2 linked regions of the Oryzias latipes genome follow. The protein of the gene in region 1 interacts with the protein of each later gene in a pairwise test. Links are inferred from orthologs where the notes say so. Each region holds a gene or a part of one and is shown in the gene's direction. Other genes may lie near its edges.

Region 1 (6,273 bases):
AACTTGTCTTTCTGCTTCATGTAATCTCAATGACAGACTACAAGTCTGTTTCCAAAAAAAAAAAAAACAGTTTTGTTTGCTTTCTGAGAACAGTATCTAAAGGTAATATTATGTTGGTTTGAAGTGAAAATAAGGGTTTTTGAAAAAACGTGAAAAGGTCAAACCTTTTTTTAAGTCTTAGATAAAACTCTTCTCATCAAAAGATTCCAATTCTGTGTATTTTGTAGAGTTTCAGACTTTATGGGCTGCAGCCAGATTCTCACATGTGAGCTGCTCAAGTCACACGTGTCTGTGACTCAACTGCCCATCCTGGGGGGTAGTGACAATTAACCGTTGAGATCAACCAGAGGGGGTTTTGTGATCACAAGATTTCATGTGTTAACTGCTGTTAAACTGCTTGAGCAAGAGAACCAAAGCTGCATTGTGAGAGTTAAGTTATACCTGCATGTAAGCGCCTCCTTTCAGTGTTTGTTTTTCTTCAAAACACTGGCGGCCTTTGTCCTCTTTGTCCAGAATGTGTTCATTGCAATCCTGAAAAGAGTGTGTCTTTTCCTTGAGAGGGTTAATTCTTGTTCGAAGGAGATAGTCTTTTTTGGAACCATGCCGTCTTGGTTGCTTAGTTTCCTCAAATATTGATGCAGAAAATCAATATTTGAGGAAATTCCCCTCAATTACAGCTTGTGTTGTGCATATGCACATATTCCACTGTGAATTTCATCTTGTTGTAAGCTTAACTATCTAAAAAAACTCGAATTGTGGAGATGGATTACCGTTAATTTATATTAAGTTGTAGGAATTTTCTGTGGCTGCTACACTAGAAGTCAAGGCACACATAAAACAAGCTGGTTGAACCAGATCTGGTCAGAATTACAAAAAAGGAAGTAGTTTTATTGTGAAAATCTGGAAGCTGTGTGCCCCAAAAGAAGCATATTAATTTGCATTTTTCATGGCACAACCCTTATTTTTTTTTTTAAATAAATGAGTATAAAATAGATAAGGCATTATTTTTTAAATACAATAGATTAAATGTTATTGGGGAAGCCTGGTTCACATTGAAGAAACATTTCCAGATGAATCATAAGTTGGTTTAAACCCAATTGAAGACATTCAAACAAGGCTAGACAAATACAGTAACATAAAGAAACTTTATAATAATGAAAATGAAACTGAGTTTTTGTGTAAAATGCTAAATAAATAATAGAGCAAAAACAGGTGTTTTGAAGATGCTAGTTTACTTACACTCACTAGAGTATCCATGTCCTCAGCAGAGTAGGTTTTGTTAATAGGCCACACATCCACTGCTCCGCCTATGCACACCACGCCGGGTTTGTGTGGACATGGTGGCATTATGTTGCAATGCCCATCCACAAAACACATGAATTATGTTTGTTAATCATGATGGAATTTGTTTGACTTTAATGACTGTTACATCACAAATATAACAATCCTATCCTTTCTAAAACTGGAAGAGTTCAAGCAATTGTGCTTTTGTATAAATACTATGTTGTCTTAATTAGACTCTTTTTCTTTCTTTCTCTGGTGCAGAATTAGGAAAAAGGCACTGCTCCTTTTCAGATATGTAGCATAAAAGAAAAAGCTTTTGGTCCAAGACCCATAGTACAGGTATGTTAAATGTGCTTAGTGTTGTGACATTCTCACTAATAAAACTTTTATAGAATAGACTTCAGTCATTAATCTAATCCAAATTTCAGACAAAACTGCCAGCACTTTGCCAAAATGGAAAAAACTTGTAGCGTTTTAGGGTCATGAGAAATTTGCCTGAGTTGTGGGCGGGACCGTTGGCTTATTTCCCATCATCCATCTGTGTACATTCTCACTCACAAGCCCATTACAGCCCCTTACAACCATACTTTAGCGGTGGGACAAAGATGGTGAGCTATGTTGGAGCTAACCACCGTACAGTTCTAAACCACATGCCAGCTCAGACGAGACGTACAAAGATTATGTCTGCAGCATTGGAATGAAGTGGAGGGAGCTTATTGCCTGTAATGTAGATTATAGATGTGATGATACATCACAACTACAAGCTTTTACAAACAACTTAGTTTTTTGATCTCTCTTGTTTCACCACAATGAAGAAATACTTAAAAAGGCAATTTTACCATCATCATCATCATGTTAAAAACACCAAAAAAACATTTTCATTAGATTGGGTCATCTAATCTCTGAAGGCTCTCAAAAATAACCTGTAATTTCTAAAAGCAAACCTATGTGCTGAGTTGAGGGCAAACCGACATCTTTAAACTATCTGACTTAGTTTTGTACAATTAGAATAGGATTATCAGGTCACTAGTAGTTTCAATGCCATTTGCTTACTTATCACTTTATTTCGCGCGCAAATGTCTGTGCATGGTCACGAGAGTTCAATGGCGTCATATCTGAAATGGGCGGCCTTTGAACGTTCTCGTTTTCTATTGGTCTGAATGAACTCGCTGCTGGCACCAAACTCGCATCTCATTGGTTGATTCACCCCTGACTAGTTCCTCTCCCCGGTCCCGCCCCCCTCGCAGCAGCTCGCTCGGCTCTCCTGCGCCAGCGGTGGTGGTGTGTCACCGAGGCAGGGCTGCGGCCGGATAGACCCGGACACAGGTCAATTACCACTCGCTCAGTCCCAAAGTGGCATCGCTGGGGAGCTACCTCGGCGAGCTGTCCATCTCGGTTCCGATTAAGTTGGATCTACTTCCTCCCGGTGTCACTGCAAGACCGTTCTCCCCATGTCGGATTTCAAGCTCGGGATCGTACGGCTCGGCCGTGTGGCCGGGAAGGTGAGTTGGATCTATGATCTAGGGCTGCCATGTGCGGCCGTGGGAGGGCCCTCGGGGAATACAAAAACACGACTGAAGAAACCGTTACAGACATTAGTGGATCCTAGTTTGCAGCTGTAATAACAATGTGGCCATTGTGGACTCTGGCGTCGTTTAGCTTAATCTTTTTAGCCGCGTTTGAGCAGAGAAGCCGGCCGTGTCGAGCCAGACTGCTCCTGAATGCCGCCGCTATCAGTCTCGATTAGAGCTAGCGCTAGCTTACATGTAGCAGGGTACATTAGCGGTTTCTAATTTCAAAACAGTTGTGACGCATATTGAAACATTGATTCGTGTTTTTAATTTGTACTATCGGTGCTGTTATCAGTAGTGTTGAAAATGTGCAAATTGTAAGGTGAAGTGCCGCAAAATTATCAGTCGCTGATGGTTAGCAGCACGCTAACGGCTGGATCTGGATTACACTCAACTGTTGGCTAATGAAGGAAGTGTTGCCACGCTTATCAACTGACTTTTGCCGGCCTGAACTGTGGTGTGCAGCATGAATGCGAGGCGGAGATTTGTCATTTATTTAAAGAAAAGGATGATGTCAACCCCAAGTATTTGTTCCATGAGGATGTGACGTGAAGGAAGGGCTGGAAACGCTGCTGGTGTCACAGGACACCCGGGATGAACTGGACAGGTGGATGAACTTGTGTGAGCTGTGATGGATCTAGCTGCCCACCTGCTGAATGACGACATCCAGCAGCGCGAGACACCTTACGCGGGCGCGCGCGCGCACACACACACACAGAAGAAGCTCTTCAAGGTCCATAACTCATCTGTCACATTTGACTTGTGCTCACTGCAGCCTGAGACTTACGTATTTGAATATTTCATTTAGCAATTATTAAGGGCTGCAGTATTGTGTCTATTACATGCAGAGGTGTGTATTAGCAGGTTATATAACTATTTTATTGTTAAAATGCATTTTTTTCTAACTTGCTTAGCTTACTTTTAGACAACAGTATTAGAAAAATCTCTTAGTTTTTGAACTGTGCTACTTATTTGTCTAGTTCAGTGGTCTGCAACAGGAGGCTTCTTTCCATTGTGGCTCTGAAGAAAACTTAAAATGTTTTTAAAATGTACAATGTAATCTATTATTTGGACTAAAAGCCACATTGAACGAATGACAACAGTCAGACAAGTCAAATCTTATTAAAGTCATTTACGAGCAGTTAAAGCACAGTACACATCACTTTGCAAGGTTTTTGACTACAATACCCATAATGCAAGCCATAAAGCAATGCAGTTTTGTAGTTTATCAAAGTCGCCTTTTAAGCACCATGTGCCAGAGATAATCAGTTCTAAGAAGCACTGTCGATTTGAAGAAAATTAAGGATTTTAAGTTTACCTTATGAGTAAAGTAACTTAGTTAGCTCTGGTTTAATTTTAGTTTGTTAGGTTTACAAATCGGTGGCTGTGGTGCACCAACAAAACAATGTTGTGTTGTGTTTTAAATCACTACTGACATTACACAACGTGTACAAAATATTCTGCAGTGGGATGATCCCATGTGGCACAGTGTGTCTTTTATTTTGAAAGGAAGTCAGAGGAAGCTCTGTCAAAAGTTAGAAACTCATTCGTATTTGGGAAAAAAATCTAATTTCATTTTGTTTTTAGGAATGAATAAACCATAATTTATATTTCTTATAACAGTGACAATACTATAATAAACACAAACCACTGTCGTAATAAGACTACAGCTCCTTCTGAGTTGTGGTCGGTGAGAAATCAACGTGATTAGCTCTTTTAAAGGTTGCTGTCCCCTGGTCTAGTTACTTGATATTTGCTGATAATTGCAAAGAAATGGAAGCATCTGCATCTGGCCTATGTATAGTAGTTCATATTAACTATATGACCCACAGAGTGATCTCTGAAACTAAATCCACAGTGACAGTCACTAGGCCTGCACAATATACCGCAAATTTATCGTTATCGCGAAATCAAGGTGTGCAATATGCATACCGCAAAAGACGGCGAAAATCGCAATAAATGGTTACCTCAAATCAGGGCTCGACATAGCCATTTGTCCGCTGGCCCGGTCCTGTTTTTCGAGCAGTACGGACCACAAGACTTTATTTTTTACTTGTCCGCTCGGGCCACTAAAATATCTAACAATTAATACATTTTTCACCTTTTTCAATAAAGTATATTTTGCGAAAACGTGTAGATTTACCTCGTCTTCATAATTTACTTTTTCTGCTAGTCCTGTGTTCAGACTTCAAGGATTTCTATGGGAAACCTTTTATCTTCTCCTCCTCTCCCGCCTGCGCGCGGCTGTCACTACCGAGCACCATGCGGCACGCGCTCACTCAATTTTTTTTTCAAACTTTATTGAATGTAACAATTCAATACTAAACAATGTTAAACAGCAACAACGAAGGAACAAGCCAGTGGGTTATTATTACATTTTAGGCAGATATATTTAAACTGACACACATATCAGCGCGCCCCCTGGTGGTTTTTCACCGCGATGATCATAAATCCAACACCGTCACTGAAGAGAGACTGAAGCATGTCAGAGATGTGGAAGACATGGCAGGAATAGATAGGAATATGTTAGATGGAGTGACGGGTGGAATTAGTACTATGGACAGCAAGATATTTAATGAATGCATTGAAGATGAAACTGTATGCACTAAGCTTTAAGCTGAATGTCAAAGAATCAAAGGCAACTCCAAATACCTGAATCTCAGACTCAAATGGAGTATAAGGTCAAACTACTTAATTTTGTTTTTCTTTACAACACTGTAAGCAGTAAGTATTTCTAGTTAGCTGAATGATCTCAGTAATTTAATTGTATTTAATTTTTCAATTATTTAATTTAATTAGGTAACTAAAGTAACTAAAAAGTAAATGTAACTTTGCAACAGTAACAAAAAGCAGAACCTTAAGGCAGTCAGGGCAAAAGAGTCAATAAAACTTCTTAACTATTGATTAGGAACAAATGTGAAATAGCAGTGATTAGAAGCAGCATGAAAACTTTTTAACTAGTGTTAACTACTACACTGCAGGGCTCCCTTCAAAACATCTGAAACAGACTAGAGCAGATTTAAGTTTGATATGCTCTATTTTTAGTCATTGAAAAGTGTATAAATAAGTGCTAGATGTCACCAGAATGCACCAAATTGCACCATATTAAAATTTTCCGGGGGGGGGGGGGGCATGCCCCCGGACCCCCCTAAAGTTGCAAGCACCTGCGGAGCGGCGGGTCTCGCTGTGCGCGGTGTCGGGCCAGTAACTTTCAAAAACTACTGGCCCTGTGGGCCAGTGCAAATTTCTGGGCTATGTCAACCCCTGCAAATGTGCAAAAAAAACTCATGGCAGCCTGAAATAGTGAACAAATGCAATTAATCCCTTTATGCATTTAACCAATCGGAAGGACCCGTTTACCTTGTTGATCAATCAGATGGAGCCCTTTTATGTTTGATGTTTGCCTCCTACGTCGACA
Region 2 (6,319 bases), on another chromosome or scaffold:
TTAATGAAAAATGCAGCTTCATTTTGAAAATGAAAAATCATTTTCTGGTGTTGACTTTTATTTTTAATTATGCTACAGAATCACTTCCATAGAATCCAAAACGCAGAACAAAAAATACTAAATTATTAATGAGGTTTCTTTATGAAGCAGATCCTTCATTTATGTATGTGCTCAAGGGGGCCAGCAGGGGGCGCCAGCTGTCCTCTGTTAAGTTCAATATCTGAACGTCCAGGAATTTCTTGGATGACTCATTTTTCTTATCATAGGACTTTGGTATGGCATGATTTGGGTCCTTTCTGAAAACTGTCTTCTCCACATGGAAACTTGCTGTGTACCTGTGAGCTGCGCCTCTTCATCATTTCTGTTCTGTTGCCCATGTCTTGCTCTGTAGATGTTTTATGATGTGTAGAATCAGTGGCGGTTCTACACTAACTTACTCCCTGGGCGAGTAACCCCAACAGCCCCCCCCCGCACACATACAAAATTTGACAACATCCTGTTGTGTTCCCTATCTTCTATTTAGCCATTTTACACAAAAAATGCATGAATGTTCTAGACTCGTATTACAGGGGGACAGGGGGTCATACTGAGTGACACAGGAGCCTAAATTAAAAACACGCATAAGGTTTTGGGCCAAAGAAGATAAACATTTACTGAACACACTAAAGCTAAACTTTTAAACCTTTTAAACTGAACTTTTTGAACATAAATATGAATAAAAACAGGAACATTAATCCAGAGTAACTCAAGTTAAACCTTAAATAACTTATAATATTTTGCTCCCCATAGAAATATATTCTGTCAAAATGATACAAATATGAACATGCTGCAGAACAAAACAAAGAAAACCTGGAAATAATAATAAGAAATAACAAATCAAATAATTCCGTTTTCTTAGCTCTTTTAGCATTTTTTAGAGCTTTTTTTTTAGAGCTGGACTGCTTCATTTTTGGCAATAATTTCTTAATGTGTGACGTCCTGTGTGTGTCTTTGTGAAACATATCAGAGGGATTAGATCTAAAAAAAAAACTTATTGTGAATACTATTTTTAGGTCTTATAAAACATTAAAAACTAAATCATAGAACTCATCAGTATGATTATTCCAAAAATATTTGGCATTTCCCTTAATTTGTGCAACACCAACAGCAGAAATCCTCCAAAAAAACTCAATCCATAAAAAATGGTCTGCGCCCACCACCCCTCCCCTTCCCTCTGATACACTCCGTCTCTATGACGGGAGGCGCAGCTGCAGCTGCGGCCCAGAGTTGATCGTTAGATAGAAAAAGACTCCCAATCACCTGTTAGTGTGATTCACCCAGTCACCAGTGAGTTGCGCCCCCCTCTCGAGTTTTTTTGACTTATGTTACAAAGACTACCGCAAAGAGGTGTGGGCGCAAGTGGTGGTCACGTGCGCGTCGGGTCTGCTGTGTGGGAGCAGGGAATTGTGGGAAATAATCCCCATTGCCTGCTTTTGTAGAAATTGGGTTGAGCACGGGTGTTTCTTCTGCCTAATTCCTTTTCATGTCCCTGTTTTACGTTGTTTCACTCTGAGTTATTTCATCCCTTTTTTTTTTTTGCACCATAAGTGTGAAGAGGGAATAGGATGAAGACATTGTTAAGAGTCTGATGTGTTAAAATAAGAGTGTAAAGTGTCGGCAGCTGCAGGCGTGTCAAAACAATAGCTCAAAAATGCCTCTTTGAATTTAGAAGCACATTATGTGTAACGCAACGGGCACGGAAAATGCCGCCCCCTATGAAGTGCTGCCCTGGTCCACCGCCCATTTTTCCCATATCAAAAACTGCCACTGTGTAGATAACTAAGAAAATACATTTCAAATCAGAAAACAACTTCAATGTATGCAAAGCTGATTACTTTTCAGCCTTTGTTTGAAGGTAGAAACTGTGAAGCTTTGTTGGTATAATAGACATTGTAGAAATATTAAAAATTAGGTACTAACAATCAGTGTTGTGCAAGTTACACGTTACAGATTACTTTTTACTGTTTTTCTAAAGCAAATCCTCTACTTGATAAGATACTGAATCATAAATGTATTGTTTGTGTTCTATGGTTTAGTGGAGAAGTGGAAAAAATGAAATTCTATTTAAGTTTTGTTGTTTGGGAATAAAATAGTAGTACTTGTGATTTGAAAGTCTTTCAGTTTTCATGATTTTTCAGGTTGGAATTTTTGAATAAAGAAGTTCAAACGTCAAGCACAGAGGTGAAAGACTATTAACTGGGATTGCTATTCAACTGAAAGAATGGTTTGTGCATCAATTTGGTGGGTAGGTAACTGCTCAATTTGTTCGGTATCTGATCATCAGGGCTGTGATCAGCCCCAGGAATGAACAAAAGAATATAGAGACGCGTTTTCTACAGGGATAAGAAAATCGGAGTTCTCATTCTTCGTAAACGTTAAATCAACGACTCTTTCTTCGTCTTGATAATCAAAAAAGCTGTCGCTGAAGGAGAATCGGTATTGTCTGGTAACGGCGTGCACGTGTGTCGGTAGCGCGCTCCACCGGAGGCGGCAGCGGCGTCTCCTGGCTGAGATGCTTCAGAGTGCGTGAGAGGAAACACGCGGAGGATTTCTCTCCAGCACCGGGATTGAGCTGCGTTCACGCCTGCACATCCCGTGCCTTCAGCCGGATCAGTCACCACTGGACTGCGTCGTGAGGCAGTAAGGTAAAGAGCAGGATTGTGCGCTTTTTTGACGGGTTCTCGCTTTGCTGGAAGGTTGGAACAGCTCATGCGCTCTCTGGAGAAGCAGAGAGAGGCAGAAGGGAGACGCTGAAGAGGAATTAAAGCTTTCCTGCGCGCACAGAGGATGCAGAACCGTTATCAATTAGATGATCAGAATATTTGCTGATTTACAAACCAAAGCTTGAGCAAAGATGCCTAACAGTTGCACTATTGAATCTCAGGAGTTAGTACCACAGATTTTCCTAAAAGTGCATATATTACACCATAGACTGTATTTAATGCAAATAAAACAGGAATAAAAGGAAGCTGACTAAAGAAGGGCTGTGTTCACTTTTGCTTCTTGAAAAGCTGTTCAAGGAGAAAAAATATCCATTAGATTGGACATAAATCTCATAGGATGCACCTCCATTTCTTACTGTGTCCTTTATAAACACGGGTGGGATTTCTCTGCTGACTTGTGCTGATACTGATGAGAGGGGGAGAGGTTGAGCAATGGAGGAGGAGGAGGAGAGAACATCCTTGGTATCAAGTCACCTTGACAACCCTTCAGAAGCACAGAGACCTGCTTTTTTTCTCTTTCTTTCCAACAATGACTGTACACAGTAGAAGTTGGTTGTTAAAAGTTAAATCTAACACAAAAAATGTATTTTTTGTGCTGTTGTTTTTTTAGGTCAAACCTTAAAAGAATCAGTAACTGGAGCTTCTGAATAATATGATGGAGAAGGTATTGCCATAAAAAAGCAAGCGTAGAGGAGCAAAACTGCCTGTGTTTAGCGTGACTATACCTTTTAAATCTGAGTCCAGCTTGCTGATGCTGAGCAACTCAGGATAAACAAACAGAAGCTCTTTGTTTCATATCACCAGGGCAACATCCTCATCAGAGGAGCGGAATGCGTCTGCAAAGACATGAAATTATTTTTCTTCCAACTCAGTTTGATGTAAATGAAAATGATTGTCCCCTAAAACATAAACAGTTTTTAAACCTAATTAGAGCTTTGTTTTGTAGTTAAAATAACTTTTGAAGCTGTGTCTGCTTACATTTCCTCAAAGGCCACTCTGACATTTAAAAATACCTTTAACCTGTTTTGAAATCCTGTTTGGAATCTGACAGAATTGAGTCTGTGCTTAAAGAACCAGTCCGATAAAAATTGTGTAAACCATGAGCAGATGAATAAGTACCATTGTAAAAAGCTTGTAGCAGGGACGTAGGTGCTCCAATCAGTGGCCACAAGCTCCCTGCTCCGCTTCATACACTTCAATCTGGATCAAAACCGTATGGCTGGATAGCTCCAGTACTGCTCGCCATTTCTGTTGCACAGCTAATGTCAGCTTAGGAGTGTGAGGGCTCCCAGTTTACACTGGGAGAGAGTGATGAATGAAATGGGAGTCGGCCTTCTTCCCTGCAGTCCTAGCCACAACCCAGGAGTGATTTTTTAATTTATTTTTTAACTTGTTCTGTCCAACATTTGAGCGAACAGATGGGAGCTAAAGGCCTTTTGTGTTGGTTTTACAGGCTTTACTATTACAAAAAGAGGTTATGTATCTTCAAATATCCAGGGTGTAAATTTGTGTAAACCCCTTTTTGTTTTTGTTCTGTTTTTTTTTTTTTCTTTTTATATTTATTCGTCACATTTTGTGTTTTATAAAAAACAGACAACAAAAGAAACCACCCCTCTCAACCTTCTGTGGGTGGTTTCTCCCACAAGCTCGGGTCCTCTACCAGAGGCCTGGAAGCTTGAGGGTCCTGCGCAGGATCTTAGCTGTTCCTAGCACTGCGCTTTTCTGGACTGAGAGGTCTGAGATCTTTCCAGGTATCTGCTGCAGCCACACCTCCAGCTTGGGGGTTACAGCCGGAAAATCGTCACCCCAGCCCAGCCCCAGCGCCCGACCTAAGCAGCCCAAAGATCACAACGCAACAGCAGCTCCATCCCTAGCTCCCCACAATCCACTGCCCTCTACAGCCTCCTCACCCCCTCCTCCCGTATCCATATCCCCCCCAAAATGCCCTCCCCACTCTGCAAAAGGGAGGGTGAGTGTATGTGTTGTGTGTATTTGCTGTGTGTGGTGTGCCAACATGCTGTGCGTGGTGTCTAAAGTGAAAGTCAAAATTGGGGGGCGGAGATGAACCGGGATGCCCCCCTCCACCAGACCACCTCCACAAGGCCCTTGATCAGGGGTGTCAAAATATATGGTTGGCCGAGGGTTCAATCTGGCCCAGTCATGAAGAGTAAAAATGATAAGGATCTTTAAAAAAAACATGTTTCTAGTCCATTCCTGTGGCGAGATATGATTTTTTAAAGAAATAACCGAAATGAGCAATTCCACCACTAGGGGGAGCAAAGGAAAAGCAAAACAGGTGAAACAGCATATCTTTGCACGTGCCAAAGGGAAACCTAAAAGCTCTGTGTCTGAGTAGGAGGAGGAGGATGTAGTTTGGTTTCGCACGAGCATCACCACTAATACATTGCTATAAGAATGATCAGTAGTGACAGCCTAATGGCCAAAATCTTGTCAAAAAAAACAACAAAGGTGGAAGTAGAGGGCTGAGCTTTCCAGGAACAATGGAAAGAGTTTTATTTTTTCACGGAGTTGAATGCAAAACCTGCATGCTTTGTATGTCATCAACAGGTGCTCAAAGAATACAACATTCAGCACCACTACGAGACTCACCATAAAGAAAGCTCACCATTTTCAGGGGGAGTTAAGAAAAGAGAAGATTTACCAACTATTAGCTGGACTGACAAAATAAGCATCTGCATTTACTGCAGCCGTGACGTCAGTGATGGAGCAGTGACACTTAGCTACCTTATTGCAAAAAAGTTGGAGCAAACGTCCAAACCATTTTCAGATAGTGAGCTCATTGAAAAATTCTGAAGGCTGCAGAAGTCTTGTACCCCAAAAAACAGTCAACCTTTGCCAGCATGAGTCTGTTAAGGATTACGATTGCAGATACAACATCTCTGAGGAGACTTGGGTGCCAAATGAAGGAATCCAGTCATTTATTGCATTTTTGGTCACTATTGATGAAAGCACAGATACAGATATTGCACAACTGTGCATATTTCTTAGAAGTGTTGAGGAGACCATCACAGCAGAGTTTCTTGAGTTGATGGACACAACAACAGCTGATGACATTGTCAGCTCTCTAGTTACTGCGCTAGACAATGTAAGAGTGAACTGGTCACGTGATGTCAGTCTGGCCACTGATGGCGCCCATTAAAGGTCAGGAAGAAGGCAAGTGTTGCCAAAAAATTCAGGCAGCAAACCAGGAAAAGGCTTTTGGACATTTCATTGTGTTTTGCACACTTGAATGACAGTAAATCTGTTGCTGCACAGGATTTGAATCGTAATATTGATGGCTGGGTGAAGTTTCAGGACAGAAAGAGAGGTTAACTCCAAATTCGTATGTTCACAAATGTTTGCAAGTGTAATTTAGTTAATTTTTCATTGAGTTGCACAATTACATTCTAGGCAGGGTGTTTCCTTTTTTTCCGTAGCTACTCTTGAGTTTATTATTGGGATTGCTTCAGTGTCAGATGTAAAATATTCAGTCTGTGTAAAAGTGAATAAACCAATTTTTTTTAAAGTGAAATGCATTTTATTTGAGATCCATTGCC

What was found.
Region 2: the proteins of zmynd19 (region 1) and enox1 interact in binary tests that used the Homo sapiens proteins (3 or more experiments, as listed by UniProt). The two-hybrid records come from large-scale screens. The link is inferred for Oryzias latipes from reciprocal best matches to the Homo sapiens genes ZMYND19 and ENOX1.

Annotation. Positions count from the first base shown.
Region 1 is NC_019870.2:12,307,981-12,314,253, forward strand, and holds the start of zmynd19 (zinc finger MYND domain-containing protein 19), read left to right. Parts: upstream 1-2,505; 5' UTR 2,506-2,735; coding exon 2,736-2,786; intron 2,787-6,273. UniProt on the Homo sapiens protein: May be involved as a regulatory molecule in GPR24/MCH-R1 signaling.
Region 2 is NC_019879.2:14,129,982-14,136,300, forward strand, and holds the start of enox1 (ecto-NOX disulfide-thiol exchanger 1), read left to right. Parts: upstream 1-2,377; 5' UTR 2,378-2,684; intron 2,685-6,319. UniProt on the Homo sapiens protein: Probably acts as a terminal oxidase of plasma electron transport from cytosolic NAD(P)H via hydroquinones to acceptors at the cell surface.